Linked DNA regions of Sus scrofa. The protein of the gene in region 2 interacts with the protein of the main gene of each other region in a biochemical or structural test. Links are inferred from orthologs where the notes say so. Each region holds a gene or a part of one and is shown on either strand. Other genes may lie near its edges. The genes, in order: NR1D2, HDAC1, KCTD11, NR0B2, PRKACA, CTBP1 and KLF1.

Region 1 (4,255 bases), on a different chromosome or scaffold from region 2:
GAGACACAATGTGTCATTATTTACAGCAGAGTTAGAAACGATCACTGGTTGAGTATGTATTGACTAATAAAATGATATCAACCCAAAGTGAGGTGTCAGAGACATGCCACACAGCAATGAATTTGGCCCCACCCTGGGCTACATTTACAATATGAACAAGTTAAAGGGGATGCTTATCAAAGCCCCCCTTGGCAAAAATTGGGGCATGGCAGAAATTGTTAGTATACTACATAACAGTTTGTGACAGCTTGAAACTGGAGCCAAAAGGAATAGGAGAAAATTTAAGAAAGATAATTACAAGGTCCTACAGCTCAGGTCAAACAATTATCTGCACGAAGGATGAAACCTAGCTTCAGAATAGTTCACATGAAAAGGTTCTAGTTGACTGCAAGGTTACTGTGAGTCAGCAAAGCAGCAAGCCACAAATGCCAAGCCTGCCACAAATTCATGTACATCAGAATCCCGAGCTTGGAGCTCGGCAGCTGTCCAATAACTTCCACAGGAGCCTGTTCATTTCCCAGTCCCACATCCCAAAGGGCAACAAGGATAACGATCAGAAAATACAGCAGAGCAAGGACCAAGGGATGGGATGTGAACTGGCCAGGGGGGAGGGGGGAAATCGGGTCGTCAACAATCATCCCAAGGAAATTTTATAATTTGTAGCCAATTTAAAATCAGGGATCGTGGCTCAGTGGTTAACGAATCCCACTAGGAACCATGAGGTTGTGGGTTCAATCCCTGGCCTCACTCAGTGAGTTAAGGATCCCGCATTGCTGTGAGCTGTGGTGTAGGTCGCAGATGCAGCTCGGATCCCATGTTGCTGCGGCTCTGGCTTAGGGCGGGTGGCTACAGCTCTGGTTAGACCCCTAGCCTGGGAACCTCCATATGCCACGGGTGCGGCCCTAGAAAAGACAAAAAAATAAAAATAAAATCAAAATTAAGATCAGTGAAAATGTTCCAGGAAGGTTCAAACTAGAAAAAAAAACCTAACCACTGAGCCAGCCCACTTTATTCAAACACAAAAGCTGGCTTTATTCATCCATGGTAGGTTAGATGAGGCTGAACTTTATACTTCTAAATCCATACCAAGTAAGTTTAATTCCATAATAGTTACTGAACTTTTTTTAACTACACTCACAGGTTAAACAGGCCCATAGGTAATTAAAACACACGAGAATGACTTTATTTTTTACTGCTGGTGGAAATTTCACAACACTTTGTTATCAAGCCATGGTTTTTTGAACGGGTAACTTAAAACATAATCACTGGCTGCTTCTGCAACCTCACTGTCTTCAGGTAACGGTCCATCCTTTGATTGGGGGGGGAGGGAGGCAAACAAAAGGGCAGAAGGTAGCCGGGTATTGTGCTGGGATGTCAAGGCAGGAAAGGTAACAAGAAAAGGGGTGATAGAGTCAAATTCTGTTATCAGAATCAGAATCAGACAAGGTGAAAGATAACAAGAAAGGGCGTGATAGAGTCAAATTCTGTTATCAGAATCAGAAAAGGTCAGCAACCCAAGGGTTTAAAGAAATTAAGCGAAAAACGACCAGCCTTACAGGAGGCCTGGGAGTCACTGGGGTCACCTCGGTCACGCCCAATAGAGCTGAAGGCTGAGCCAAGGGTGGACCCGCCCATAGAGGAAGGTGGTGAGGTAGAAGGCTTCCCAGAAGAGATCACTAAAACAGTCTTTTTTTTTTTTTTTTTTTAATACGAAGTAGCACCACAACCTGGGCGTTCCCCGGCCCCTCCGCCGGGCGTCGCTGGGAAGCCAAGCACCTCCAGGCCCCGCGGAGGGTCATGCGTCGGGGAAGCCCCAGGTTGTCCGGCCGCACTGCCTTCAGCGCCAGAGCGCCCACGCCGGGCGCCTTCCTCTCCCTGCCCGCAGCCAGGCCGCGGCTCCCGCGTAGGCTCAGCTCCCGGCCGCCGAGCGCGGGTCTCCGCGGCGCGCACGCGCGGCCTCCTCCGCAAAGAGCAACCCCGCGGGGGAGGAGGGAACCGCGCCACGTCACAGCCCGAGGGTTCCGGAGAGGCGGGGCCTCCGCGGGGCTGCGGCGCTCCCGGCTGGCGCGCGCGCACCCGCCCCCACGTGTCCCTGCGGCCCCCGGGAATGTGGGTCACCGAGCCGAGCGGCCTCACGTGTCCCCGCCCGCCGCCGCCGCCCCAGCGCCCATTATGTAATGCCGCGTCATGAGCCCGCCCAGCCAACCGGCGCCCGCGCGCCGCCGAACGTAAACACAGCGCGCACGTGGCTCGCGCGGCCAGGCCATGTGAGGGGGGCGCCCGGCCGGCGCCGCGGGCCGCGCTGCGGCGGTGCGGGGAGCCGAGAGGGCGGCCCCGGGGCGACGAGCTCAGAGCCCGAGGCGAGCCCGCGGCGCACAGCAGCCCTCCCCGCCAGCCCGCGCCCCGCCAGCCCGCAGCCCCGCCGCAGCCCTCCGAGTGCCCGCCGGGATCCAGCGCCCCTCCGCCGCGCTACCCCGCCCAGTGGGCTCTTACCCGCATTCACCTCCATGGTGCCCTCGGGAGGGGGCCGAGGCCGCCCGCTTCCCGCAGAAGGGGCAGCGCCGCCGCCGCCTCAGCACCGCGCCGCCCGGGGCCGGGGCCCCCTCATGGGCAGGGCGGGCGGGACGCCCGGACCCGGCCCCGCGGCCGGAGAGCGGGCTGCGGGGAGAGAGGGCGGCGGCGGCGGCGAGCGGCCCTCTTCGCGGGGTCCCTGACAACAAAGCGGCGGCGCGGCGGCTTCCTGCAGCCAGCGCACCGCGGCGGCGAGGGCGGCTGATGGGGAGGGCAGCCGCGACCATGTGACCCGCGCACACCCCCTCCCTCCGCCCGCCCCTCGGCCGGCCGCTGCGGCGACTCCGCCCCTCCCGCCGCCGGCTCCCCTCCCCCTCCTCCCCAAGCCACCGCCCGCTCTCCCTCACCCTCGGGCCCCTCCTCCTCCCTCCTTCCTTTCTCGCTGCTGACCTTCCCGCCTCCGTGGGAGCCCCCCAGGCTTCCTTCCCCGAACCTGCCCCACCCCCGCCTAGTGACACCTTAGGTCTCCTCGGACGTTTACCTAGGCCCGCCCGGTGGCGCCAAGCAGGCGTGCTTTGCAGGATCCAGGGCTGGCCCCAACCCTTGACCGCGCCTCAAGTCGGCTCTCCGACTTACCCACCTCTAAAGACCAGGCTCTGCAGATACAGCCCACATCCCTTCCCTCTGCACCCCCGGGTGACTTCATTCAGTCCAACAGCTCAAGTAGGCTTGTGTTCTGATGATTGCCGAATGTACATTTCCAACGTCTCCTCTGAGCCCCAGATTCCTGCATTCAGCAGCCCGTTTGATTATGCCACCTTGATATCCTTTTGGCATCTCAAATTTAAGGTGTAGGCAGGCGTATGCTTGTGTCAAAACTCAGCAAATGCACACCGAAGATTTGTGCGTTTCACCTTGTGTGTACATTTTACATCAAAAGGAAAAAAGGGGGGAGACCAATGACGTGTGCCGAGGTATGAAGAGGGCAGTGCACTGATGCCTGCAAATTTAAGTGCATTATGAAAGCAAGATGGTCTGAGGGATGGAGGCCAGGATGGACGGTTAGAAGCATAATAATCTTACTATGTAAATCATGTAGTAGTTGTAGATGTTTTATGTGGGTATTCACTGTAAAATTCTAAGTTGCTCTTTGAAATTTTTCAATATGAAATATTGAGGGAAATATAATTCATAAGACATTTTTACATGTGCTGCATCCCTTCGCCCCCCATCACCCACTGCCCCATCACACACACATACACACTCTACCCCATCAACATCTACTTTTTGATAAATCTGCCAGTTCCTAAAACCAACAAATTGAGTTTCACTTCTCTCTCTCTCTCTTCCTGTCTTTCTCCCTCTCACTGCTTTTATACCTGGTTCAACCCATTAACAGATCTGAGCTATTCTACCTTCATAATACATCTTTGATCTTTCAGTTTTTCACCATCAGCATTGTCATTACTGTAGATCAAACCACCATCTTCTCTTGCCTGGGCTACTCTAATAGATCCCTAACAGGGGAAACTGTGCCTGGAACCACCTACAATCACTTCTACCCAGTGTTATGTTTTTAAATGTTAATGAGATCTAATTACTCAAAACCCTCCAATCGCTTCCTATTGCTTTTTTTAAAATCCAGTACTTGAAGCTGCCCTGCAAAGCTCTGCACAAACTTTGGGCCCTGCTTCTCTCCTAGGCCTTCGAGCACCATCTACACAGCTCTCTACACAATGTGGTC
Region 2 (3,500 bases):
GCCACCCTTCCCCTCCAGGCCCCACCCTCCTTCACCTGGGCAACTCATTTCTCAATGTCCACTCAAACATCACCACCCCTGTGAATACCCTTTCCTCAGCTCAGGAAGCAGTTTCTCTCTCACTCCTCTGTTCATCCCTCAAAAACAGCACTGACTACATGCTTCTGGGGATGTGCCTGCCTCCCATACCATAGACTGTGAGGTCTTCATGGGCATAGATCTTGTCTTAAATATTCCTGGATCCAACAGAGAGCCTGCTCCAGAGACGGCATCGATAACTATTTGGATGAATTCCGTTCCCCTGACTGGCCGTGCAGCATGCAGACAAGGGCTGAAACACATCTCACTTCCAACCAGCCTCTCAGCAGGGAGAGATTTCTGAAGTATGTTAGGGGGTTGCTACCCCTCCCTTAGATCAGTCCCATCTATAGCCCAGGGTGGTTGGGTAAGCCACTTACCGGCTTGAAAATGGCCTCATAGGACTCGTCATCAATCCCATCTCGGAGCGGGTAGTTAACAGCATAATACTTGCCTTTGCCAGCCCCAATATCCTAATCAAGAGGGACAGTAAAGTTAAAGTAAAACTCAAAGATGAAGCTAGAAGGAAGTTCAAGGATGGGGGCTGGAAGGCTAAGGAAGGAGGCAGTGGTTCTAAGAGAGAGACGCTGGGCCCATGAGGTGGGCCAGGGACAGAGCAGGTCAGTACCATTCCCCTCAAGGGCAAGTCTAGCTCACATCTCTGGACACACCACTGAGGCCATTTATGGGCCAGAGATTTGAATATCCTACCCCACAGCACAAGACCTCTCCCTTTGGACTGGATTAAAGGTGGCTGGGGGCTGGACCACAAAAAATAACACTCATCCCACAACAACCCTTCCCTTGCCAGGGAGCTTGCATGCTCACTCCTCTACCTCCCATTCTCTCGAGAAGGAAAGCAGAAAGGGAAGAATTCTTCAAAACTGTAAATGCTCAATTATTCAAAGGCCTGCCATTGCAAACAACTGAATTAGTGCCACTTTTTCACCCAAGGGCTACTGGTATTGCAAAGTGGCTGGTTTCATTGTATTCATGCTAATAGAAGCAGAACAGTTAAATGAATCAGCTTTGAAGGATTCTTATCCAGAGGTCCATGGATAGGTTTCACTAAGGGGAGGTGCTATAAACTATCTGCCATCAGATGTAAAATTTCATGTACTTTCCCAGGGAGACAGTACAGAGCTTTCAGTCAGATGATCAAAGGGAATGTTAAGAACCCCTGAGATGGTCCATAAAGGTCCCAATTCCTAGCTCATTGGATAGAACCTGAGGTTTCTTAGCCTGGAATTCAAGCTTTCTGGATATGTGAATAGTGTAATGCAACCCGGCTGGGGCCAGGAGGAAGTGCAATGAGTCAGGAGACCCCCATCCCTCCCAAAGCTTCATGTACCATCATTCCTTTCCTCCAGAATAAGAAAGGGAAAGAGATCATAGCAGGTGTCCCAAGCTAGGTTGTGATGTTCTGAACGGCAGAAGAGGCAGGAAGTGGTTTTTGGTGACATGAGATAGGAGACTTAGAGCTGGCAGCTGAGGGTGAGCTGGTTGGCCCCTAAAGGGAGTTCTCACCCGTAGGTCCCCAGTTCCTGGGAAGTACTCTCCATATTTATGAAAGGACACAGTCATGACTCGGTCTGTGGTATAGAAGGCCTCTTCCACGCCATCGCCGTGGTGAATATCAATGTCAATATACAGCACCCTCTGGTGATACCTAGGATCAGAAGGGGGTCAGGGGGTCTGGGGGCTCCTTGGGAGTGGGACGCGCCAAGGGCGCCAGGTCCCAGCTTACCGGGCTGGCTGCCTCCCTCAGGTATCTCTAAGCACCAGAGACGTAGAAACTGGCTGAAGGAAGGTGGAAGAGCGGCAGGGTGTCTCCAGAGGCCTGACCAAGGCGACCAAGTCCAATCTTCCTACTCTACAGCCAGGGTCAACTCCGGCCACACAGGGACACTCTGGAGGCAGGATCTGAGCAGCGCCTGCCCCTATCTTGCCGTGGGCTCAGATCAAATCAAGACCCCGTCAAGAAGAAGATGGCCAGAGACACTCACCGAACACATCCTAGCCAGCACACCGCTAGGAAAAGCAAACTAGGGAGGCAAGCCCAGGGGAGAGGGAAGTGGGAACCTGGCCTAAGGTGCTCCTCCAAGAGACAAGGCCAGGCAGGCATACTTTAGCAGTTCCAGGATGGCCAAGACGATATCATTGACGTAACAGAAGCCAGATGCCTCGGACTTCTTTGCATGGTGTAGGCCCCCAGCCCAGTTCACAGCGATGTCCGTCTGCTGCTTATTAAGTTTCACAGCACTTGCTGGGCGTGGGAAGAAAGATCACAAGACTGTTACCAAGCCAATCTCCCCCTTCCCCCCAGAAGCCAAGAGAGCCCAGTAAGAGGAAGACCTGCCTCTTCAGCTACACTGTACAATTCACCAGCCAGTCCTCTCCCCCTGCCCTATTCCAACAGGGAATAAACATGATACTGGCTACTCAAAAAACTGGTTTTGAAGTTCCTACTGAGGCACAGTGGGTTAAATGTGACTATAGTGGCTCAGGTCACTGCAGAGGCGTGGATTCAATCCCCAGCCTGGCGCAGTGGGTTAAAGAATCCTGCATTACTACAGCTGCCAGGACGAAGTTTCCTAGCCCAGGAATTTCCATATGCCGTGGAAGTGGCCATAAAAAATTAAAACAAACAAAAACAAACTATTCTGTTTGCTTGTTTTCTTTTTCGGCCTTAACCATGACATACGGAAGTTCCTAGGCCAAAGACGGATTCTTTTTTCAGTTTTTTTTTTTTTTTTTGGTCTTTCAAGGGCCACACCTATGGCATACAAAAGTTCCCAGGCTAGTGGCTGAATCAGAGCTACAGCTGCTGGCCTACACCACAGCCACAGAAACATGGGATCCAAGCTGAGTCTTCGACCTATACTGCAGCTCATGGCAACACCAGACCCTTAACCCACTGAGCGAGGCCAGGGATCTAACCCACGTCCTCATGGAAACTATCGAGTTTGTTACTGCTAAGCCATGACGGAAACTTCGGAATCTAGATTCTTATCTACTGCATCACAGCACGATCTCCTTAAAAAACTGTTTTCCAAAATGAAGGTGGTACAAAATGAAGCTACCACAAACTTACTAGTAGGCCTTAAAATTGGTTTAGTGGGTCGTGATTAATATATATTTTTCTTATGTTTTTATTTTTTGATAGGTAAGAAGTAGATTTATTTAGAGACAAAGTGTAGGCCATCTCAAGAGAGAGCGGCGCTGGGAGAAACACACTTCACAGAGAGTCTAGGCCATCTCAGACAGCAAGATGTAAGAGGGCGAGAGGAGTGTGTGTGTATATATATATATATATATATATAATTTTTTTTTTTGTCTTTTTGCCTTTTCTAGGGCTGCTCCAGTGGCATATGGAGGTTCCCAGGCTGGGGTCTAATCGGAGCTGTAGCCACTGGCCTACA
Region 3 (4,257 bases), on a different chromosome or scaffold from region 2:
AAAAGCAATTTTATTTGTCTTCTTGTAAATCGTGACCAGTGATAAATAGCAAGCGACTCCCCCAGTGAAGAAGTCGTTTGTGAGTATCCCATCCCCCAGGGACCCAGAAATCCCATCCTTTTCCATAGCCTCCCCCACTCTCTCAAACTCCTCTGTTCATCTCTCTGCCCTGGACAGCCTTGGGCCTTCCCCAGCTATCTCCTAGCAACAGGCTCATGGTTGCCCTAGCAACCGAGAGTTCTATACAGGGCTCCAAGGCCCGGCTGAGCCCCAGTGACTTCTCTCACTTCTCAGCAGCAGAGCCTAGTGACTCAAGGCCCGGCAGGCTCCTCCTGCCGACGTGGTGATGTGAGACACATGTGTGCACGCACACCTGTGATTAAACTAATTCTCAGTCTGCTTCCACCCATGGTGCTGGCACACCTGGTGCCAGAACAGTTGCCAGGCAACCCCGAACAAGCCTGCACATGAAGAGCCCGCAGAAAGACCAGCACACAGACACCATCTCCAGCAACACAGATGGGAGCCAGGAGGTGAGGGCCCCACACATCATCTGACCCACTGGCTGGCAGGCACGTACACATGCCTGAAGCGAAGGAAGACAGGCCAGGACCCAAGAACGTGCTCCCGCCTCCCCCCTGGGCAGCCCCACCATCAATATGGGGTCTTTTAAGATGGGAAGGATGCTCCAGCCCCACAGTTAATGGGGATTCTCCTAGCTCCCTTGTGGCCACCTAGGGTGGGGCGTAGCCTTTCTGTCTCCCTCAGTGGTGGCTTGGGACATGGCAAAGGATCTCCCTTCCCGTGTGTCGGAGTGTCCTGGCCTCTCCTTGGTCAGGCCAGGCCAGGCCAGGCCACCAGCTCCAGGAGAAGTCACAGTCTAGGAGACCACATTAAAGCAATCCAAAGACCCTCTTTCCCCAAACCCTGAGGGTCCCTCCACAGGTCTGATAAGCCCAGCCCTGCAAGAGAAGTGTCTCCACCTTTCCAGACCCTGAATACCGAGCTCCAAGCAAGGAAACACTGGAGGTCCCCAGGCTCAGAGGAGAAACAGCCAAGGGAAGCTTCCCTACCCCTCCCAGGATTAGCATCAGTCCAGACCCTCTGGTCTTGTGGGCTCTGGTTTGGGGATTGCTGCCCATATCTGGGCTCCAGTCAGGTGCAGTGGGACTCCTGACTCTCACAGCTCCCCAAGCAGAGCCAGGAAGAGGCCTCAGGAGAGCCTTCATCCCTTTTGGCACCCCCTTCTTTTTCCCCTTCCCCCCCGCCCCGGTCAAACGGAGGGCAGCGTTCCCAGTTCAGTTCTTAGTGCCGAACGAAGCGCAGAGATCGGGAGTTGAGCAGATCTTCGGGGTCAGGGAAGACGGAGTCGAGACGGAAGCCGTGCTCCAGGGCCACCCGCAGCACCTCCTCCAGGAAGCTCGGGGTGCCCACCACCTCCCGTGGCTCTCCTGGCCCCCCAGTCCACAGGGGCTGCAGCCCCAGTCTCTGGTACTCCACTTCCGGGAGTTCCGAGGGGCGGGGGGCCCACTCCAGACGAAAGTGTGGGCCTCCCTCCGCCCTGTCGTCATTGGCCACACCAAATCGGGCCCGCATGGCACCCAGACACTCGGGGTCGGTGCAGAAGAGGTTGGCCCGGAAGGTGTCCACCTGGACAGAGCTCAGCTCATAGTGGTGCGGGCCCCGGCGAGCGGAGAAGTGCACCAGGCGGGGGCTGCTTTCTACATCTGCGTGGAGCAGGGCGGCTGTGGGTGCCGGGGTCCCCCGAGATGCCTCTAGTTCCCGCAAGGCATCCAGGAGAGGCCGGATCTGGTAAAAGTCAGCCTCTGCCCGGAGAAGCGCCGTCTCCCCATATCCACGGGGCAAGTCCAGGCGGCCCAGCCGCAGAAAGTTGAGGATGTGCCGGAAGGCCTTGCCATCTCGGTCGATGAAGTAGTGGCCACCTCCCTGGGGACTGAGGTTGGGGGTCATGGGGGTACCGGCCCTAAACATGGCCCCCAGCATGGAGTCTGGGAATCGAGTCAGCGTCTCCAAAGTGGTGGAATATAGCGTGCCCCCCACATTCAGGGTCACAGGGCCCCCAAAGGCGGGGGGCGGAGAGGGCACAGGAGGAGGGGAAATTTTGAGGAGTACTGGGGACACCGAAAGAGAAGAAAAGGCGGAACTTCCTGGGTGTGTGCAGAACTGGGGCGTAAAGTTCAGGCAGTCTCTGGGTCGGAGGCACAAATTGGAGTACAAGGCAGCAAGATGTGGGGCTCACTCCAGCTACTGTGGTGGGGGAGGGTTCTGGGCACAGAAATTCCGGAAAGATTGGGAGAACGGATAAAAACAGCAGAGGGAAGCCAGAGAGGGACGAGAGATTTAGGTCCGATTCCGGGGGTCAGCGATTCCTCTATGTGGTCTTCAGACAGTGGGTTTCCGAAATCCAACCAGCAGGTGACGGTGGCGAGCACAAGGCCGACTCTTTGAAGGGTCAGGTTTCTGAGCTCTGGGGCAGAGCGCTGTCGCTCCGGGCGAGTCGATGCAGAGCTCCGGGAGCCAGTCGGAGGCCGGGCCTGGCCTGGCTCCGGCGCGGGTTCCAGGAGATGGAGGAGGGGCTGACCGGAGCCGACACCGGAGGCTCCTCTGTGTCCGCTGGGGAGCGAGGATGCACGCTCAGTCCGAGCTGGCAGTGTCCAAGGACTCCGATGGAAGCAGCCGGGAGTCTCGAGACCGGGCGCCGCCGCCTTCCCCCAGTGTCGTCGCAGCCGCTGAAGTCCTCTCCGCCCCCAGGAAGTGGCCTAAGGGCAGCGGCCGGGGGCCCTTTAAGAGGCAGCCCCGCCCCCTGGGCGCCCCGCCCCCCGCCCCCGCCGGGCGAGCGCGGCTTGGGTGGTGGTGGGAGCCGAGAGCGGCGAACCGGAGAGACGGGGCGGACGGGCTGGCTAGGCGGACGCTAGCGGGGGTGGGGTCCTGCGGGTGACTCAGGCGCGTCGTTCCGGATGTGGCTGCGACGGCCCCGCCGGCCCCCAGGTGTGCTAGACCTCACGTCTGCATCTAGGCTGGAGCCGGCCCCTCCTATCTCGCCGCTCCGGAAACCGAAGCCTGGCCGTCGGGGGCTGGGGACCAGTTCCTTCCCAGTCGCTCCGCAGGGAATTCCCGAGGGGGCGGGTGCTGAGCCGCCGCATTCCAGGGATGCCTCCGGGCCTGGGCCGGGGTGGCCTGAGCCAGCCTCGCCATCCCAGCCATATGCCAGCACCCCCAAGGGAAGGCCGGGCCCAGCCCACGCGAGCGGCTTCTCCCCACCCGGATGGGTCTGGCCACGTCGCCTGAGCCTACGTGCCCCGCGCGACTCTCAGACTGAGGCCGAAGCTCCCTCTTCTTGTTCCCCTTGTTCGCCCCTCCGCCCCTCGTGTGACTCAAGCTCGCAAACTCCCAGCCGCTCCTGCACCCCAAGAGACGCAACGCCCAACTCCTTGCCAGCCTGAAGGGGCTGCCCAGTAAATGAACTTTGAAGAGCAAGGCACAGAGGATTTAATGGCGAAGGGGCGGAGGGGAGGAGTAGCCGGTGCGGGGCCCTCGACGGTCTGAGATCATAGCGTGTGGAGGTCATGACTGCGCCGCCTCAGCTTCTCGGGGTCGTCAGATGCCATGAGGGAGAAGTCTCGGAAGATGTCGAGATACGTCTCATCTCCTGAGGGGAGGGAGGAAGGGCTGGGACGCCGGGTGGCTGGGCGCTAGCACTGAAGCGCACAATGGGGACAGCCCGGCCTGGTAAGAGCACGCGCTTCCAGCGTGGGTGGAGGGGACATCTGCGCTGTCAGGGCAGCGCCCTCGCCTATTCTTTGCTCTGTTTCAAGGACCTGGCGCGTAGGATGTGCCCCATCCATATCTGTTGACTAAATAATGTAATTAACCAAAGAAGCTGAGCACAGGGGGTTGGGGACAGGTCACCAGCGACCAGAAGCCCAGAGTTACAGTGTCGTGTGGGGGCGGGGGTGGGGGGTACTTTACCAGCCTGGCCCTGGGCCGCATCGGCCTCTCTCATCTTTGCCAGTCGGAGCCTGTAGGGAAGGGAATTAAGGAATGAATGACATTCTCTTAACAACCTACCCCCCCAACTTCCTATCTTTTGAGTTGGGAGTTTCATTCATCTGTTTTGTTGAAAAGATGCCTAACGACAATATTAACGAACGTTGCCTCTCTCAGAATAAAGTCCCCTTCCTCGGACCCTGCCCTCCCTCCTTCTCCAAGCCTCAGTCCATCCCTGGAGCATCCTTT
Region 4 (4,067 bases), about 4.6 Mb from region 2:
GCGGGAGCTGGGGGAGGGGGTCAGCAGGGGATGGGGGCAGGGAGAGATACCTACTACCTTCTAAGATAAAGTCAAGGATGTGAGGGAGTCTTGAACTGATGCTGCCCCCTGGATTTAGACCCATGCAAAATAAATCGCATCCCCAGAAATGAAATCATCATTCCCCTCTGATATATTAAAATTCCAGTTTCCAGAGGTCTGACTGCTGTACACTTAGAGTTCCTTCTTCAGGGGCTCCCTCCTATAGGGGCAGGGCGGGGTAACCCCAGAGGTGAGGCGGTCCCCTCCACATGTACAAAATACAGCGTCAGGCTCCATGTGTGTCACACTTTTTATTACAAAAACCAATAACTTAAGTCAGTTCTGTACAAAGTCAGGAGGACTCCTGACCCAGTGAGCAGTCAGACTTTCCAACCCCATCCCAGGAGGAGACAGGAGTCTTGGCCCAAAGGTCCTGGGACCACCAAGGGCTGGCCAGACAGCTGGAGCACGGTGCCCAAAACAAGGAAGGCCAAGATAGGGTGTAGCCCAATTGGCTGGGCCAGGACTAGCTGCTCCTGGGGAGCCGAGAGCTCGCTGTCCAGGCTTGCCCCCTCTGGGAGCACCGGCTCACCCCTGGGGACAGCCAGGTCAAATCAGTGCTGCCAGCCTCCACCTGATCTCTGCCTGGGCTGGAGCAGGTCAGCTCAGCAAAAGCATGTCCTCGAGGAGGCCAACGATGTCAACATCTCCAATGACAGGGCGAAAGAAGAGGTCCCCAAGCAGGGTGGGCGGAATGGACTTGAGGGTGGAGGCTGCGAGGAGAACACGAGCCAAGCGGCTTTGGCCTGCTGGGCACCAGGGCTCCAAGACCTCCCACAGCGCCTGGTGGGCCTCGTGCTGCAGGTGCCCGATGTGGGAGGAGGCATAGAGGCCTGGAACATCTGCGGGCAGAGAAGGCAAAGAGGGCTGGTGAGGACCCTGCTCCGACACCACAGGATAAGACTGGCCCAAGACCTGAGGCCGCCAGCTCAGCTTTTGGGACCCTATTTCTATCTCGAGTTACTTATCCATCACTTTATTCATTGCTCCTTTATGGTGAGGTAGTATAGAGCAATGGTTAAGACCCAGGCCACCTGGGTTTGAATCCCACACTATCATTATTAGCTATGTGGCCTTGGGAAAGTTACTCAATCTCTGTGCCTCTGTTTCCTCATTTGTAAAATGGGAATAAATAATAAAATGATAGGAGTTACTGTCGTGGCTCAGCAGTTAACGAACCCGACTAGCACCCGTGAGGATGCAAGTTTGACCCCTGGCCTCCCTTGGTGGGTTAAGGATCCCGCACTGACAGGAGCTGTGACATAGGTCAAAGATGCGGCTCGGATCCCGCATTGCCATGGCTCTGGCATAGGTGGGTGGCTACAGCTCCGATTGGACCCCTAACCTGGGAGCCTCCATGTGCCATGGGTGCGGCCCTAGAAAGACAAAAAGGCAAATAAGGATAATAATAATAATGATAATGATAACAAAATGATAAAATGGGTATAAAAACCTATCTTCTAGACTTGTTATGAGGTTTGAATGAGCCAGTACATGTCAAACCCTTAGCACTGGACTGAACATACGGTAAGCGTAATATGAGTATTTGTTACTATTGTTCTAAACAATTTCTTTGATAATGTATCCCATGAAGGCCTTTTGGGGAGACATTCTCATCTAGGTGCTCTCCAGATAACAAAGACACTACCTCTATCTGTGCTCTCCCGGCTGAAGTTTACACAGACTCCTCCCTCTCCTCCCCCACATCCCTCGTTTTCATTCCTCTTCTATGCATGGTCTTTCTGGACCCACGGACTTGCACCTTCAGAATATCTTCATGCCATCAGCTGGTGAAGACATGACTGAGGTACAGTTGTGTCTGTCCACCCTCCCTTTCAGGACTCCCGCCTTCCCTGAGGGTCAGGACAAGGTTCTGGGGCAGAGTGGCTGAAGTGAAGAGACCCAAGTTCCCATCCTTGCTCTGCCCCTCCCTGGCTGTGTGACTTTCAGCGAGTCACTTAGCCTCTCTGAGCCCCTTTTGTGAGATGACTCTTTGGTGGTGATAATGAGGACCCAAAAAAGACAACGGGTGTCAAGCCTTTAGAAGGCGCCCTCCTGGCTAAGCCCTGGCCCCCTCCAGCCTCGGCCCCCATCCAGGAGTGTCTAGGAGCTCACCAGGGTTGAAGAGAATGGTCCCTTTCAGGTAGGCGTATTCCTTGGGGCCCAGCTCCAGACTCCATAAGGACTCCAGGCAGCACTGAAGCCACTGCACGGCAGCCAGCGAGGGCTGGGGCCGATCCAGCGGCTGGCCACTACCTGCGCCGCTGCTGGGCTCCTCCAGCAGGATCTTCTTGAGTATACTGGGAACTGGGACCTCGGCCACCTCGAAGGTCACAATGTCTTGGGCCAAACCAAGCAGGAAGAGGGGACCCCAGCAGCCCCGCAGCAGCTGCCGCTGATCCTGGGGAGGCAGCTGGCAGAAAGACGGCAAGTTCCTGAGGAAGGCCAGCGTCTTGGCCAGAACATTCAAAGCCTCCTGGCAGGTGCGATGGGGGGTACAGAGCCGGACAGGCCGGTGCTGCCTGCACAGGCAGTGGCTGCGGGCTGGGGGCACAGACGGCCGGTCCCTGTCGCTGGGGCTCAGAAGTGCATACAGAATGGTTGGGCGGCCTGCTGCACTCTGGCATGGGCAGGTCCCTGGCTGCCTGGAGCTCATGATTGAGGCTCTGCTCCTGCTTCCTCCCGGCTCTCCCCTGCCCTCTGCTCTGTGCTATGGGTGCTATTTATATCCCCCCATGGGGGAGGGCGGGGGAATGGCCCAACAACCTTGACTCCAGAAGTCATGTTCATTGAAAAAAAAAGAAACACACACTGACCCTGGCAGGACCGGTGAGGAAGTGAGGGGGGAGGGGGCCTTGGAACTCCACGTGGCTCTGATATCGCTTCAGTCAATGAAGCGGCGGGTGCAGGGCAAGAGCCGCCTGCCTGCTGGCCGGGCTGCCCTTTGTCAGATGATTCAAGTGGATAAACAGGGTCATTAACCCAGGCTGTACCAGGGCACCAAGGCCTCAGGTGCATGATTGCACCCGATTGCAGGTGGCCGTGGCAGGTGTCCCTGTTGGTGCCAGCAGGACTCTTGCTCGACTGGGAAGCCAGCCCCAGACCGGGACAAGCCTTGAACACAAGGCCCAACCTGGAAGCGCCTTATCACTTGCTTGTTTGCCTAACCTTGGGGCCCTGCTCCCGTTGTCAGTAAGGAACAACCTGCAGGGAAGGGAGCCAGGACCCTGGGGGGCTGGGAGGACTTTGCCCACTTTGCAGTCAAGGAGGCCCCTTTCCTCTGACTCCAGTTCTGGGGGGTCCTGCACGAATAAGATCCTTAAGAAGTCTTTCTCCCCAGCCTGGATTCCTGGAGACCCTGAAGGGCTATATCTGCTGAGAAGCCTTTGCAGAATGATAATGAAATACTGCTGCTATTTACTACATGCCAGGCACTTTCCACTCTCTTATTCAAAGCTGCCCTATAAGATTCCAAACCTTTTTTTTTTTTTTTTTGTCTTTTTTAAGGTCACACCCACAGCATATGGAAGTTCTTAGGCCAGGCGGTCAAATCAGAACTGCAGCTGCCTGCCTACACTACAGCCACAGCAATGCGGAATCTGAGCCAAGTCTGTGACCTACACCACAGCTTGAGGCAAGGCTGTTTCCTTAACCCACTGAGCAAGGCAGGGATCGAACCTGCATTCTCATGGATACTAGTTTGTTTCTTATCCCACTGAACCACAACAGGAGCTCCCAAGATTCTTACTTTTTGAGACTCAAAGAGGTGAAGTGACTTGCCCAAGTTCAAACCACTGAGAAGAGACAGAGCCCAGATCAGTCTGACTCCAAAATCCTCACTTGTTGCCCTGGACCCTCTGGCCCAATTGGGCAGCCAGAGCTGTGGGGCCTGGGTCTCCCAGAGCTCATGACCACCTGGGCCCCCACCTCTGCTTCTTGGTCTGCAGATGTTGCCCATGTGATCTGGGCAGAAATGTTGCTCTGCT
Region 5 (4,251 bases), on a different chromosome or scaffold from region 2:
GCATAGCAATCCCATGATTTCCTTTATACTACTGCTCAGGACAGATCAAGATTTATATCTGAACAAAAATGAGTCAAATTTTTTATTTTAAGTTAACAAAATAGAAGTGGATATAGCAAAAAATCAGGAAGGCAGGTGGGAGAATGTTTGAGTTAGGACATCCCAGGGTCCAGGAAGTTGGCTGGTAGGTGGAACTGGATGAGAATCCTGCCTCTGTGGCATCACCTATGTCAAACTCAGAGAACACGTGTAGAAAATTCGGATGACAGCCCATTATGAAAACCACTTGAGGAGTTCCCGTTGTGGCGCAGTGGTTAACGAATCCGACTAGGAACCATGAGGTTGTGGGTTCGGTCCCTGCCCTTGCTCAGTGGGTTAACGATCTGGCGTTGCCATGAGCTGTGGTGTAGGTTGCAGACGCAGCTCGGATCCCGTGTTGCTGTGGCTCTGGCGTAGGCCAGTGGCTACAGCTCCGATTTGACCCCCAGCCTGGGAACCTCCATATGCCGCGGGAGGGGCCCAAAGAAATAGCAAAAAGACAAAAAAAAAAAAAAAAAAAAAAAAAAAAAAAGAAAGAAAACCACTTGAGCAGACAGATCTATGGAGACCACATAGCCTGGCACATCCTAGATGCCCAATAAATAGTGGCTCTACTTCATCTTGATATTCCAGTCCTGAGTGATCTGAGGGAATTAGCGCTTCCTTCCAGAGCCTCTGATCTGTTTCTTGGGGATCCTTTTCCCTGTGCGGCTTTCCCCCCACCCCTACCCCCACCCCCGGCCCCACTGTATGTGTCTGATATGCCTTGAGAGTTTTCAGGACTATGTCATCTCCCCAACTTTCAACTGAGCCTCTGAAATACACAGCTGCCTGCCTCCACCTTCCACCTCCCAGCCAGCCTCACCTGCTGGGGGCCTGGCTCCTCCCCCTCTGCTTAGTCCCCTCCAAGCACAGGCCCAGACCTTTTTTGGTCACTACCCACCTGCTCCTCTGTCATCAAGCGCTCAGCTACAGGCACTTGCCTCCCCGTTCCCCGCCCCTCGGTGACTTGTCAGGCCTCTCCATGGTTGCTCAGTGACTCTAAAATTTGGCCATTTGAATCCGGATGGGAAGCAAGTTCCCTGGCTTTCATGCCTGGGTCTTTCTGGGAGGGAGCCTTCGGGGAACTCGGACGCTGCGGGTTGAGACCAGTAAATGGGAAGGACCTATGTGGATGTGGCCTCCCTTTTAAGCTCTGACTATTTCTGGGTAACTGGAAGGGGATCCTAGCTGAGGTCCAGCTTTATGCCTGGAGTGATGACAATTTAAGAGCTGGAGGAACTGAGGAAGGGGCTCAAGGCCATTTCTGAAGGCATTTCCAGATACCAAAATCTCTTTCCCTGGCTGGCTGGAAAAGGCCACTATTTGGGGGCTGAGGGAGAAATAGGCTCTTCTCTGGTTGAACCCTGGGAATGATCAGAATCTATTTGTCCCTTGGCAGAGAGGCATTAGATGTCACCCACTACTCCTCCCAATTGCCATCCCTTGAGTCCTCTTTCTCACCATTCCAGCTCAAGCTGAAGGAGGCTTGTTAAAGCCAGACACTCTTCATCCCAAGCCCGGAGCGGGTCAAGAAGCCTGGGGGACTGGGTGAATGACGAAGCCTCAGTTGTGAAACAACCATTTATTGAGGGGCCCTCTGAGGAGCCTAGAGCCTTCCAGAGATGGGAAGGGGCTCTCTGCTGACACCTCCACCCCCCAACCCAGGAAAAACGACGCAATGAATTTTCCAGCAAGATCAGCTCAAACTTGGCTTTGGAAGCACTGAAGCAGTTCTCTAGGTTCATAAACAGTCTGCTACCCCAGCCAGGGACAGACGCTTGCTTGGAGGAGGGAGCACAAGCAGAGGAGCAGAGTGACAGAGAGTATCAGGATGAGAGAGGGGCAGAGAGACCCAGAAAGATCCTGTCCCCCATGTCAAGTGACACAGAAGGGAAAAACAATTCTGGAGGTGGCCCTGAGAAATGCTCAAGGAAGGCAAAGTGGGGTTGGAGGGGGCTGTGATAAGGTGAAGAGGGGAAGGGCAGGAGAAAGATGGCGGGGGCTGGAGGGGGGAGGGGTGTGGTCACCAAGTGGCCAAGGTCCCTGCAGGGTGGAGGCAGACCCCACAGCACTCCCAGACTGGCAGAAGAGGTGAGTGTGGAAGAGGTGAGTGAAGAAGTGGGGGGAGATTTAGAATCTGTGCAGAGGTACCAGGAAAGAAGAGAGTGGGGTAGTGACAGGGCCCCATGTGGGGCCTCAGCGGTTATACGTGCCATGGTTGGCAGTGACAGCTGGGGGGGAGCACGGTCTTTGCACAGGGGGACGGTCTTTGGCAAGGGGGCTCCTACGGGGTCTTCTGCGGGCCTTGGGCCCCAACCTTGGACAGACAGGGGGAAGGGTTCGCTGTAGGGTAAACAGAGAGAAATGGGGGGGATAAGGGGAGGGGCCAAGCGGTGATGGACAGGGAGGGGGCTGGCAGCGCGGGGCCGCGATCGGGGTCACGGCCCGGGCACTCACCGCTCTCCTGCTCGCTGCCCTTCTTGGCGGCGGCGGCGTTGCCCATCGCGGCGGCGGCGGCCGGGGCCGGTCCCGGAGCTGCGGCGCGGCGGGTGCTGGAGGCGGCCCGCGGCCCCGGAGCGCGCTGGGCGGCGGCGGCGGCGGCGGCCCCTGGGGTTGGCTGCGCTGGCTGCGGCGCCGCGACCCCCGCCCAGCCCCTGCTTCCCGCGTCTCTCCGCGCCCGCCCGCCCGGGAACCTCAGCCCAAGTCCGCTGCTGCTGCTGTCCGTGACGCCCCCGCAGCCTGCCGCTCATTGGTCTAGGCCTCCCTGACTGACGGCGCTACGCCGCAGTCCATTGGTCCTCCGCAAACCTCCCGTGCTGCCATAGGATCCCGGCCCCTGACACGCCCCTAGAACGCCCGGCCACTCGCGCGCTTCTGAGGCCTCAGCCGGGCGGGCCGACGCGTCTGATTGGTCCAGCCTCCCGACAGGCTCTGGGGCCCGCCCAGCGAGGCAGTCAATTGGCCAAGGCTGGCTGTCCGGCAAACCCTCGGCCGAACGTTCAGTGTCAATCCCGAGGTGAGAGGGCGGGGCGGAGGCTCAGCCCGCCGCCCGGACCTGACGGGCGGGGCGGCAGGCTGAGCCTCGACCCACCGGGTGGGGGGGCGCGGAGGCTCATCCTGTTGCCTGGACCCGCCGGGCGGGGCGGCCGAGGCTGGCGGGCGGCCGCGCAGCGCTCGGAGCCCCAGGCGGCGGTCCAGGCGGGCGCTCGCCCAGCCCCGTATTCGCCGCAGTCCCCCGCCCCCGCTCAGTGCGGCAGCGGCTGCCGGCCAGCCGAGGTTGGCGCCGCGCCCCCCCCACCCCACCCCGCAACCCCGGCGCAGCCGCTGTCCACCTGCCAGCGGGGGAGGAGAGCAGCAGGCGCCGCGGGTCATAGGTCGCCCGGCCGCCGGCCGTCGTCATTCATAAGGCCTGGCGCAGGATAGCTGCAGGCCCCGGGGCCAGGCTGCGGTCCTCTTGGGTCTCTCTCAGCCACAGCCTGAGCTTCTGGAGGATGCTGGGCTGCAGGAGCAAGGGGATGTTGGGAGGGGGCGCTCACTAGCCATCCTTTTTTACTGGGTCCCCAACTTGGGCTCATGGCAGTGGTGAGCTAGCGCTCATTAAATACGTTATTTCGTACCACACTCCTATCACGTAGGCACTATGATCATCACTCCCATTTTACAGATGAGGAATGGGGCACAGCCAAGATGGGGATTCCCTCTGTCTAGGCAATGCAAAAGGAACGGCCCCTCCTGGAGCAGAGTAGCAAAATTGCCCCTTCCTTAGGGTGCCCTTTTAATATACTGAGGACAGTTTCCCACTGCCACATTTCTGACATTCAGGGCCGGACCAGTCTATGCTGGCGTGGGAGTGAGGAGTGGTCCTGTAGGGTGTTTAGCAGCATCCCCAGTCTGCCACCTGGATGTCAGTAGAACCTTCCTCTCCTCCACCAGCTGTGACAACAAAAGCCACCTCTAGACACTGTTCAGTGTGTCCTGGGGGGCAAAACTGCCCCCAGTTGAGAACCACTGATGTAGAGGAAGGCCCAAACGGGGTGACACAAGGGGCAGGAGATTGGATGAGCCAGCTCTCCTTGGCTTGGAGGGGCCAGCTGGTCTAAGGTCTACAAGTCAATTTGCTCCTCTGCTTCTGGATTTGTACAACCTGCACCCCATCTAGCAGCAGTCTGG
Region 6 (4,182 bases), on a different chromosome or scaffold from region 2:
GACGGACGTGCCCCCCGGGCTCTGAGCCCTGCGCCCACGCCACCAGCGGGGGAAACTAGGAGTCTTCTAGAAGGAGCGTTCCCACAGGACAAAAAGCCTCAGACACAGCTGCCTCTGCCCGGAGCCAGGGACCAGCACTAGGCTCTCCCGGGAAGGGGCTCTGGGGGCAAATCTCTCAGTCCCACGGCAGGCAAGGCCCCAGGGCGCTGACACAGGACGGCCAGGGGAGGGGGCAAACCATCAGAGAGAAAAGCCCCATCGTGGCCCCAGTGCCTTCGCGCGGCCAGCTGCCCAAAGAAGCCCCCGCCAAGCGACAGCTGCTGCTGGCCGACCCCAAGGGCCCTGCTGGGGCGGAGAGGAGCTCAGCTCGGCCGGGCCCTCCATGCAGCCGCTCATCAGAAAATCACCCTCCCCGCTGCAGGCACAGGGGTGGCTCCAGCCTCTCGGACCAGGGGCTGAGTAGGGGCTGCCCACAGAACCAGGCACCCCCTCCTGAGTGTCCTGAGGCTGAAGAGGCGGGAAGGGGAACCCCGCACGCAGCTGGGAGGGAGGAAGGTCCAGCTGCCCAGACACCGCGGCCCAGCCGCCCCTGCTCCCTGGAGCAGGAGAATGAAGGGTGCACGTGCCTGCCGGGGGACAGACACAGCCCAGCCTTCCCAAGCAGCGACGCCCCAACCAAAACACGTGCACGCCCAGAGACCACGGTAAAACCCAGCCTGTGGACAGACAGACCGCCTGCAGGAAGGGCAGCCCCAGACCGAGGCGGCCCCAGCCAGAGACGCCACCGCGACGAGGGCCGGCAGGACCCACACAGCTGACATTCTGGGACAGGAAGGACAATGACGCCGAGCCCACGCAGCTACAGCAGAGGCGCTGCCCCCGGCCCTGCCCTGTCCTCTGCTCCATGGGCCTGGTCCCAGCCCTGTCCTTGGCCCCTGGCCCTTCCCCCAGCCGTGTCCCTCCCTGCCCCCAAGTCCCCAGTCCCGGCCCTGCCCCTGGCACGGGCCCTGCCCCTGGCACGGGCCCACTCATGTGACCCCACGTCTCACACTGCCGGCCCACTTTAGAGATACGTACAGACGGTCCCATAAAGGGCCCAAGATTATGCCCCAGTCACCAGGGCTCAGCCAGGGCCCCCGGAGGCAGGTCTGTGCTCCTGCCTGCTGTGGTCACTCCTCCAGAGGCTCACAAGAGTGGACAGGCTGCACTGACCCACAGGGCACCCCCAAACGTTCACGCTGCTGAGAAGCGGCTTCCTCCTTAGTGTTTGCCTGCATATGTTTTCAGGCAAATGAAACTGCGACCTGTGCAGAGGGAGAAGGAGGGAGCTGGGGGGGGACGCCTCCATGGATGTGACGGTGGTCCAGGCTCTGGGCCCCCATCTGCAACCCGACTCTCCAGCCACCCCGAGAAGAGAGAGAAGCAGGAGCTGGATGAGGGGCTCACCTCGGTCTCCTCAACTCAGAGCACCCGGAAGCGAACCCATCCCATCCCGCTTCTCGAGGGTGATGGCTCCTAACCAATCACAGAGAAGAGCATCACCAGAAAGGGGGCTGCCCCAGCCAAGTTCCGGCTGCCTGCTTAAAGGCCCTCCCTCTGCAAGCCCAGGGGCGCGCCTTCCCTAGCCTGCAGGTTGGCACCAGCTAGAGAAAGCTCCGCCCAAAGCTCAGGGGCCATGCTAGTTCCCCCCCCCAACCTGGTCCGCGATCCCTGATCTATAGGCTCCAGTGGCTGGGCGGCAGGAGAGGACGGAAGAAGCTGCGGGTGGCGCCTCTCCCGCCACCCCAATCACAAGGAGGCCCTAGGCCAGCTACTGGAAGCCAGGAGGAGCAGGGACTGTGCAAGGTGGCAGGACAGGTGGGCACGACGCGGCGGAAGTGGCCGGATAGGGATGTAGACAGCGGCCAGCAAACCAACACCACCCCGGGGGGGCCCCCCACCCGGCCTTCCCCGGCCAGCCCCAGGCTCAGGGCCCCAGTGCTGCCGGGGGCACGGATGGTGCCTGCTCCTGTCACTTCTCAAAACAAGAGCGGCATAAGGTGCCTGGGGACAAACAGAAGCGGGTCACACCACTCTAGGTACTCAGGTGGAAACAGACAGGCTCAGAGAAGGAGGCGGGCGCCCTGCTGCCACCTCCGCCTGGTGAGCGGGAAGGGCGCCGCCTCGGCAGACGCAGCACTTCGGACGTTTCATAAGCCGGTGGGGATCGAAAGGGCGAGCAAAGCGTGAGGGAAGACACCGCGCCGCGGATTCGCGGAGGGCCGCTTCGGCTCCGCAGTCCGGCCACGAGCGACGCCGGGTCCCCGATCGGCGCGCCAGACCGCTCCGCAGGGCCCCACCAGCAAGGGCTGCGCCAGCCTGGCGGGGCCTGCACCCTGGGTGCGGGGGTCCCAGGGCCCCCGCGCCCCTTTGTGTCACCTGCGCAGGCGGGTCGGGCGGCGGCGCACGCGCACTCGCACGCAGCAGCACGCGCACGCGCGCGGCGCTCCCGGGCCCCGCCCCCGGCCGGAGGCGCGCCGGCGCCGGCGCGCACGCGCACTCGCACACAAAGCCGGGCCCGCGCCCGCCCCGCCCGCCCCCGCGGCCCCGCCCCGCCCCGCCCCCGCGGCCGGAAATGCGCGCGCGCGGCCTTACCGAGCGGCAGGCCCTTGTTGAGCAAGTGCGAGCTGCCCATTGAAAGGCGCGGGCGGCCGCGGGCTCCGACGAGTCCGGCGCGCTCCGCCGCGAGCCCGGCGCGTGGGGCGGCCTGGGCGCCGTCCGCTGCTCCACCCGCTCGCCTGCGCCGGGCGCCGCCGTGCCGAGCCGCCGCGCCGCGCCAGCAGCCGCTCCACCGGGCGGGGACAGGGCGCGCGCGCGGGCGGGGCTTCCGGCGCGGCGGCCTCCTGTTTCCAGGCGCGGGCGCCGCGCAGGACCACGCGGACGGCTGCAGGCCGCGCCCGCCCGCCCCGCCCGCCGCGCCCGCCGCGCCCGGCCTGCGGGCTCCCCCGCCCCCGCCGGCCGCGCCGCCCCGCACCCGCACATGCACCTGCCCAGCACATGCAGACTCACTTGCTGAGAAGCCCCAAGGCCCCGCCTGCCCGCACACGCACCTGCCCCGAACCCTCCAGATCCCACCTGCCCCCACGTTCACCAGCCCTGAACCTGCCAGGCCCCACCTGCTTGTAATCCACTGGGCCTTGACTGATGGGCTGAACTTGCTGTCATCCGCACCCTCGGGGCCGCACCGGTCTCGCACCTTCCTGCTGGCGGCTGGGCGAGCGAATGCGCTTCTGGGTACCGGTGGTTTGAATGTCCTTTGGACTCCTGGCGGCTGCAAGGTCGTGGGAGGCAGCGGCACAAACGCGGGAGGGTTTCTCTGGGAAACCCTGGCCTTGTGCTTGGGTTCCAGGGACCGAGGAGGGCGTGTCTGGGCGGAGCAGCCTGGACAGGAGTCCCCAGGACAGCTGCTCGAAGCCAAGGGCAGGGACTTGCCTAGGTCTGGGGTGGGGGTGGGGTCCCTGGGAAGCAGCCAGATGTGGCTGAAGCAGGTGTCAGGGTGAGCACCGCCTCAGCCCCAGAGAGAGCACCTGGGCTTAGTTCCAGAGTCCAGAGGGGACCTGCCACCCAAGGGTCATGGGGGCTTTCAGGGTGGGAGCTAACCAGGTCTCCCGGGTGAGGTTACGGGGGCAGGGCCCAGGAGACTCTGGAGACCTTTCTCCCCAGACCCACACTGTCCTGGGAGTTGCGTTGCTACGAGGTGGCCATGAGGATGGGCGGTATAACTCTCTTCCCAGGTAAAAAGATTTTTTTTTTTTTTTTAGGGCCACACCCAAAGCACATGGCAGTTCCCAGGCTACGAGTCAAATCAGAGCTGCAGCTGCCAGCCTGCACCACAGCCACAGCAACGCAAGATCCTAGCGGCATCTGTGACCTACACCGCAGCTTGATCGGAAGCCAGATCCTTAATCCACGGAGCGAGGCCAGGGATCAAACCTGCATCTTCATGGCTGTTAGTCGGGTTCTTAACCTACTGAGCCACAACGGGAACTCCAAAAATCACTTCCTTAAAAGGCAACAGCCGTGACCAGCACTCAAGTGTTGGTACAGTTGATGAAACATGATGGGCCATCCTGAAACCAACCCTGTTGTCTATACATCTTTAAAGTCCATAAATCAGAGAAGTGTGAGTGGACGCAAGAAAGC
Region 7 (4,224 bases), on a different chromosome or scaffold from region 2:
CAGCCGCTAGGTCTCCTGCAAGTCAGGTGCTTCCTGTGGCCCCATCCAACAGTCCTATCCCACCCAGAAGACAAGGTCACCTCCTCCTCCCCAGCCCCCATCACACTGGAGCAGCTCTAGTTGTACCAGCCTCAGCCCCCACACAGCCACACTCCCTGCAATGCCGCCTGGGGGATGGGGGCGTCTCCATGGTAAACAGTGATGGTTGATGGGCAAGGGACTCTCCTGCCACTGTGCACAGACCCTGGAAGCTTACAACCCAGGGGAAAAAAAAAAATATATATATATATATATATATATATAGTCTTTCTAGGGCTGCACCTACGGCATATGGAGGTTCCCAGGCTAGGGGTTGAATTGGAGCTGCAGCTGCCAGCCTATGCCACAGCCACAGAAATGCCAAATCCAAGCCATATCTTGAATTTACACCACAGCTTACGGCAATGCCTGATCCTTATCCCACTGAGCAAGGCCAGGGATTGAACCTGCGTCCTCATGGATGCTAGTCAGATTCATTTCTGCCAAGCCACAGCGGGAACTCCCACAACCCAGGAAATTTAAAAGCAAGTTAATCCTGGGAGTTTCTGTTGTGGCTCAGTGGGTTAAGAACACCACTAGTATCCGTGAGGATGTGGGTTCGATCCCTGGCCCCACTCATTGGGTTAAATGGATCCGGTGTTTTCTGAGCTGCAGTAGGTTGCAGATGCTACTTAGATCCAGAGTTGCTGTTGTTGTGCTGTAGGCCAGCCGCTGCAGCTCTGATTCAACTCCTAGCCTTGGAACTTCTATATGATGCAGGTGTGTCCCTAGAAATAAAAAATAAAATAAAATGATCAAAAAGATAAGAAAACCCCTGTCCTTCCCCTACCCCTTAAAAAAAAAGTTAATCCCCAGCCCCCAGCCCTGCCACTCACCAGGGACAGAGCCTTAGCTGATCTGGGCCCCCACCTGATAGCAGCCTCCAGCATCTGGGGAGTCTGATAATGCTTGCCTTGGCAGGGAGTTTGTGCCAAGTCCCGCCATCAACACGGTTGCTGCCGTTTATTGGGGAAGGGGAGAGCCAGAATGTCCTGCCAGAGGCAAGGGGGCTCTCAAAATTCCTTTCTAGAATCCTTATTCTGTCTGTCACCCCTTCTCCAGGAAAGTAACTGAGAGCATGTCCCCAAGTTTCTCCTTCTCTGGGAACCCAGTGCCTCACTGCCCAGCCCCTGAACCCCCAGCCCCTGAACCCCCAGCCCCTGAATATCTGATTGGCTTTGGATACAGGATGAGTCTTTAAGGCTCAGCCCCAAACAGCCCTAGGCAAGTCGGTTCCCCAGAAACAGTGACCCACGCCTTTGCCTGCCCCTTATCAGGGGCTGCAGCCAATCAGCTAAGGGCAGAGAGGAGCCCTCCAAGGGGCCAGCAGAGCCTCAGAGCCCACGAGGCTGCCAAAGGAGAAGAGGCCTGAGCCCCAGGGCAGGCACCAGCCAGCCATGGCTGCAGCAGAGACCGCCTTGCCCTCCATCAGCACGCTGACCACCCTGGGCCCCTTCTCGGACACACAGGAAGACTTCCTCAAGGTGGGGTCAGGTGGGGTCTAGACGGGCTGGCTGGGGTTCCAGGCCCAGACCACAGAGCTGGGGGATCAGATCTGCATCTTTACCTGGAATTCAGAGACCTGGTCAGGACTGTGAGTCCTCAGTGCAGGCCAGGGTTCTGACCTTGGTCTAGGGGCCTATTTCTGTCACAGAAAACTAAGGCTGGGAACTGAACAACATGGACATCTAGACTCAGGGAGACAAGCTCAGATATCAGAGGGAAATTGCAGATATGTCTAGGGGACACCCATGAATTAATCTTGGGATTAGTTTTGTTGGGGGACAGGGAAGGAGTTGAAGATTCTGGGGGGAAACTGAGGCAAGGCTGAGCCTTCCCTAACCTTCCATTCTTGGCTCTGTCAGCCCTTCCCCCACGCCTCAGTGTGGCTCTAGATAATGTAAGCCTTATCGGCTGTCTCCAGCCTGACCCGATAGACCTCTGTCTCTGGAGCTGAGATGGGGGTGGGGGGCATGAGGACGACAGTGTGAGGGAGTGGGACAGACTGACATGATGGACAAGCAAACAAGATTCCTTTCCTGAGCCTCTGGCCAGCCTGCCCCCATCAGGGCATCCGGGCCCCCCATCATCTCTGGGCAGGATACCCTGGTGTCCACTGAAGCTTCTTGCTACCGGCTCCCTCCCACAGTGGTGGCGCTCTGAAGAGGTGCAGGACTTGGGCCCAGGTCCCCCCGACCCCACCGGGCCACCCCTCCATGTGAGGCCGGAGTTGGAAGACGCACCCAAGGAGAACGAAGATGATGAGAGGGACGTGGCTACCCCCTGGGACCTGGATCTCCTCCTCACCAACTTCCAGTGCCCAGAGCTGGGCAGCACATCCCAGACCTGCGCGCCCCAAACTTGCACCCTGGCTCCTGGCGAGGGCCCTGGGGCGCAATTCCCAACGCCGCCCGATGTTCTGGGCACTTATGCAGGCGGCCCAGGGTTGGTGGCTGGGATCTTGGGTGCCGAAGAGCACCCGGGCTGGGCGCGCCCAACCCCACGAACCCCGGCTCCCGACGCCTACGTGGGCCCAGCCCTGATCCCAGCCCCCGAGCCAAAGGCGCTGCCGCTGCAGCCGATGTACCCGGGGCCAGGTGCGGGTTCCTCCGGTAGCTACTTCCCGCGGACCGGGCTTCCAGTGCAGGCAGCCCCGGGCGCCCCCTATGGGCTGCTGTCCGGGTACCCAGGGCTGTACGCAATGCCGCAGTACCAAGGGCACTTCCAGCTCTTCCGTGGGCTCCCGGCCCCGGCGCCCGGCCCCGCTACGCCTCACTCCTTCCTGAGTTGTCTAGGACCCGGGACGGCAGGTGCAGGACTCGGGGGGACCACAGGAGACTCAGGAGGAACCGCAGAGGCTGCGCCATCCAAGCGCAGCCGGCGATCTTGGGCACGCAAGAGGCAGGCGGCCCACACGTGTACGCACCCCGGCTGCGGCAAGAGCTACACTAAGAGCTCGCACCTGAAGGCACATCTACGCACGCACACCGGTGAGGGGGCGGGGCCCGGCTCAGGGGTGGGGCTGGGGCGGAGCCTTGGAAGAGGAGTGCGGTCTAGTTGGAAACCTAGAGCGAGGGGCGGGGCTAAAGCAAAATCTCGGAGCAAAGTGCTGCGGAAAGGCTGGGACCCGACTGAGACACCAGGAGTCCAACCCCAAGCGGTGCAGAAAGCGGGTGGGGACAGAGAAGGGATCTGGAAAACCTGGGAAGCGTTTTGGGGAACCGACGGGTAAGATCTGGGCCTGGGGAGTTCCTGTTGTGGCTCAGCATCCATGAGGAAACGCGTTCCATCCCTGGCCCAGCCCAGCGGGTTAAGGATCCGGCGTTGCCGCAAGCTGCGGTGTGGTGTTGCTGTGGCTGTGGCCCGCAGCTGCAGCTCCGATTCGACCCCTAGCCTGGGAACATGCATATGCCACAGGTTCTGCCCTAAAAAGCAAAAAAAAAAAAAAAAAAAAAAGATCAGGGCCCGGGACAGGCAGAGAAGTAGAAAGCTGGACCAGAGGTGTAGGGAATGGGGCTAGAGGGACTGAGGGGAGGGGACAATTCTAAATACCAGGGGTGGGGCCAAAGATACAGGGTTCAGGTTTGTGGCAGCAAGAAGCGGGAGTTAGGGGTTCTGGGGCCTTAACCAGGGGTATGAAAATTAGGTTGCTTGGCATGGAGGCGGAGGCAGACTGTAGGGGGTGTGCTGGAGCTCAGAAGAGTTAGTTGCAGGAGCCCTGACGCCCAGGCAGGTCCTGAAGAGTAAAGGAAAATAGCCGGGAAACAGAAGAGGGTGGGCTTAGGAGGAGAAGCCAGGTCCCAAAGAGCCAAAAGATGGGTGGGGACGAAGAATAGTGGCAGGGAAGAGGAGGGATGAGGCCTATTCTTCGGGGTCTGCACAGAGGATGGGCCCACGTGTATAGACCTGCACTGGGACTCAGGAAGGAGGGGCCAGGTCTAGCAGGGAGAGAGTGGAATCGCCGAAGACAGGGCCTGGAACACCAGGTGGATTTCTAGGCTCAAGAGCCAAGATCAGGGTCAGGATTGGGCAGCAGCTGGAAGGCCCCCTGGTGCAAGGGAGGGGCTGGAACACAGAGGAGAGTGCCAAAGGATGGAGACTGTGATAGCATTAGGATGCGCGCACAGGGTACCAGGGCACAGGAAG

Evidence for each region.
Region 1: the proteins of HDAC1 (region 2) and NR1D2 form a complex in vitro, tested with the Homo sapiens proteins (2 studies listed by BioGRID). The link is inferred for Sus scrofa from reciprocal best matches to the Homo sapiens genes HDAC1 and NR1D2.
Region 3: the proteins of HDAC1 (region 2) and KCTD11 form a complex in vitro, tested with the Homo sapiens proteins (2 studies listed by BioGRID, with this or other methods). The link is inferred for Sus scrofa from reciprocal best matches to the Homo sapiens genes HDAC1 and KCTD11.
Region 4: the proteins of HDAC1 (region 2) and NR0B2 form a complex in vitro, tested with the Homo sapiens proteins (2 studies listed by BioGRID). The link is inferred for Sus scrofa from reciprocal best matches to the Homo sapiens genes HDAC1 and NR0B2.
Region 5: of the proteins of HDAC1 (region 2) and PRKACA, one has a biochemical effect on the other in vitro, tested with the Homo sapiens proteins (3 studies listed by BioGRID). The link is inferred for Sus scrofa from reciprocal best matches to the Homo sapiens genes HDAC1 and PRKACA.
Region 6: the proteins of HDAC1 (region 2) and CTBP1 form a complex in vitro, tested with the Homo sapiens proteins (2 studies listed by BioGRID). The link is inferred for Sus scrofa from reciprocal best matches to the Homo sapiens genes HDAC1 and CTBP1.
Region 7: the proteins of HDAC1 (region 2) and KLF1 form a complex in vitro, tested with the Homo sapiens proteins (2 studies listed by BioGRID). The link is inferred for Sus scrofa from reciprocal best matches to the Homo sapiens genes HDAC1 and KLF1.

What each region holds. Positions count from the first base shown.
Region 1 is NC_010455.5:10,755,499-10,759,753, reverse strand, and holds the start of NR1D2 (nuclear receptor subfamily 1 group D member 2), read right to left. Parts: upstream 2,801-4,255; 5' UTR 2,510-2,800; coding exon 2,494-2,509; intron 1-2,493. UniProt on the Homo sapiens protein: Transcriptional repressor which coordinates circadian rhythm and metabolic pathways in a heme-dependent manner.
Region 2 is NC_010448.4:88,777,111-88,780,610, reverse strand, and holds part of HDAC1 (histone deacetylase 1), read right to left. Parts: intron 2,345-3,500; coding exon 2,206-2,344; intron 1,748-2,205; coding exon 1,606-1,747; intron 552-1,605; coding exon 459-551; intron 1-458. UniProt on the Homo sapiens protein: Histone deacetylase that catalyzes the deacetylation of lysine residues on the N-terminal part of the core histones (H2A, H2B, H3 and H4).
Region 3 is NC_010454.4:52,696,698-52,700,954, reverse strand, and holds the start of KCTD11 (BTB/POZ domain-containing protein KCTD11), read right to left. Parts: upstream 2,801-4,257; 5' UTR 2,005-2,800; coding exon 1,306-2,004; 3' UTR 1-1,305. Other genes in the region: ACAP1 (arf-GAP with coiled-coil, ANK repeat and PH domain-containing protein 1), read right to left, coding at 3,570-3,670, 3,991-4,040. UniProt on the Homo sapiens protein: Plays a role as a marker and a regulator of neuronal differentiation; Up-regulated by a variety of neurogenic signals, such as retinoic acid, epidermal growth factor/EGF and NGFB/nerve growth factor.
Region 4 is NC_010448.4:84,224,403-84,228,469, reverse strand, and holds NR0B2 (nuclear receptor subfamily 0 group B member 2), read right to left. Parts: upstream 2,801-4,067; 5' UTR 2,738-2,800; coding exon 2,197-2,737; intron 924-2,196; coding exon 682-923; 3' UTR 314-681; downstream 1-313. UniProt on the Homo sapiens protein: Transcriptional regulator that acts as a negative regulator of receptor-dependent signaling pathways. Specifically inhibits transactivation of the nuclear receptor with which it interacts.
Region 5 is NC_010444.4:65,073,425-65,077,675, reverse strand, and holds the start of PRKACA (cAMP-dependent protein kinase catalytic subunit alpha), read right to left. Parts: upstream 2,801-4,251; 5' UTR 2,585-2,800; coding exon 2,539-2,584; intron 1-2,538.
Region 6 is NC_010450.4:493,128-497,309, forward strand, and holds the start of CTBP1 (C-terminal-binding protein 1), read right to left. Parts: upstream 2,801-4,182; 5' UTR 2,675-2,800; coding exon 2,635-2,674; intron 1,494-2,634; exon of another isoform or gene 1,078-1,493; intron 280-1,077; exon of another isoform or gene 1-279. UniProt on the Homo sapiens protein: Corepressor targeting diverse transcription regulators such as GLIS2 or BCL6. Has dehydrogenase activity. Involved in controlling the equilibrium between tubular and stacked structures in the Golgi complex.
Region 7 is NC_010444.4:66,143,343-66,147,566, forward strand, and holds the start of KLF1 (Krueppel-like factor 1), read left to right. Parts: upstream 1-1,424; 5' UTR 1,425-1,475; coding exon 1,476-1,562; intron 1,563-2,227; coding exon 2,228-3,068; intron 3,069-4,224. UniProt on the Homo sapiens protein: Transcription regulator of erythrocyte development that probably serves as a general switch factor during erythropoiesis. Is a dual regulator of fetal-to-adult globin switching.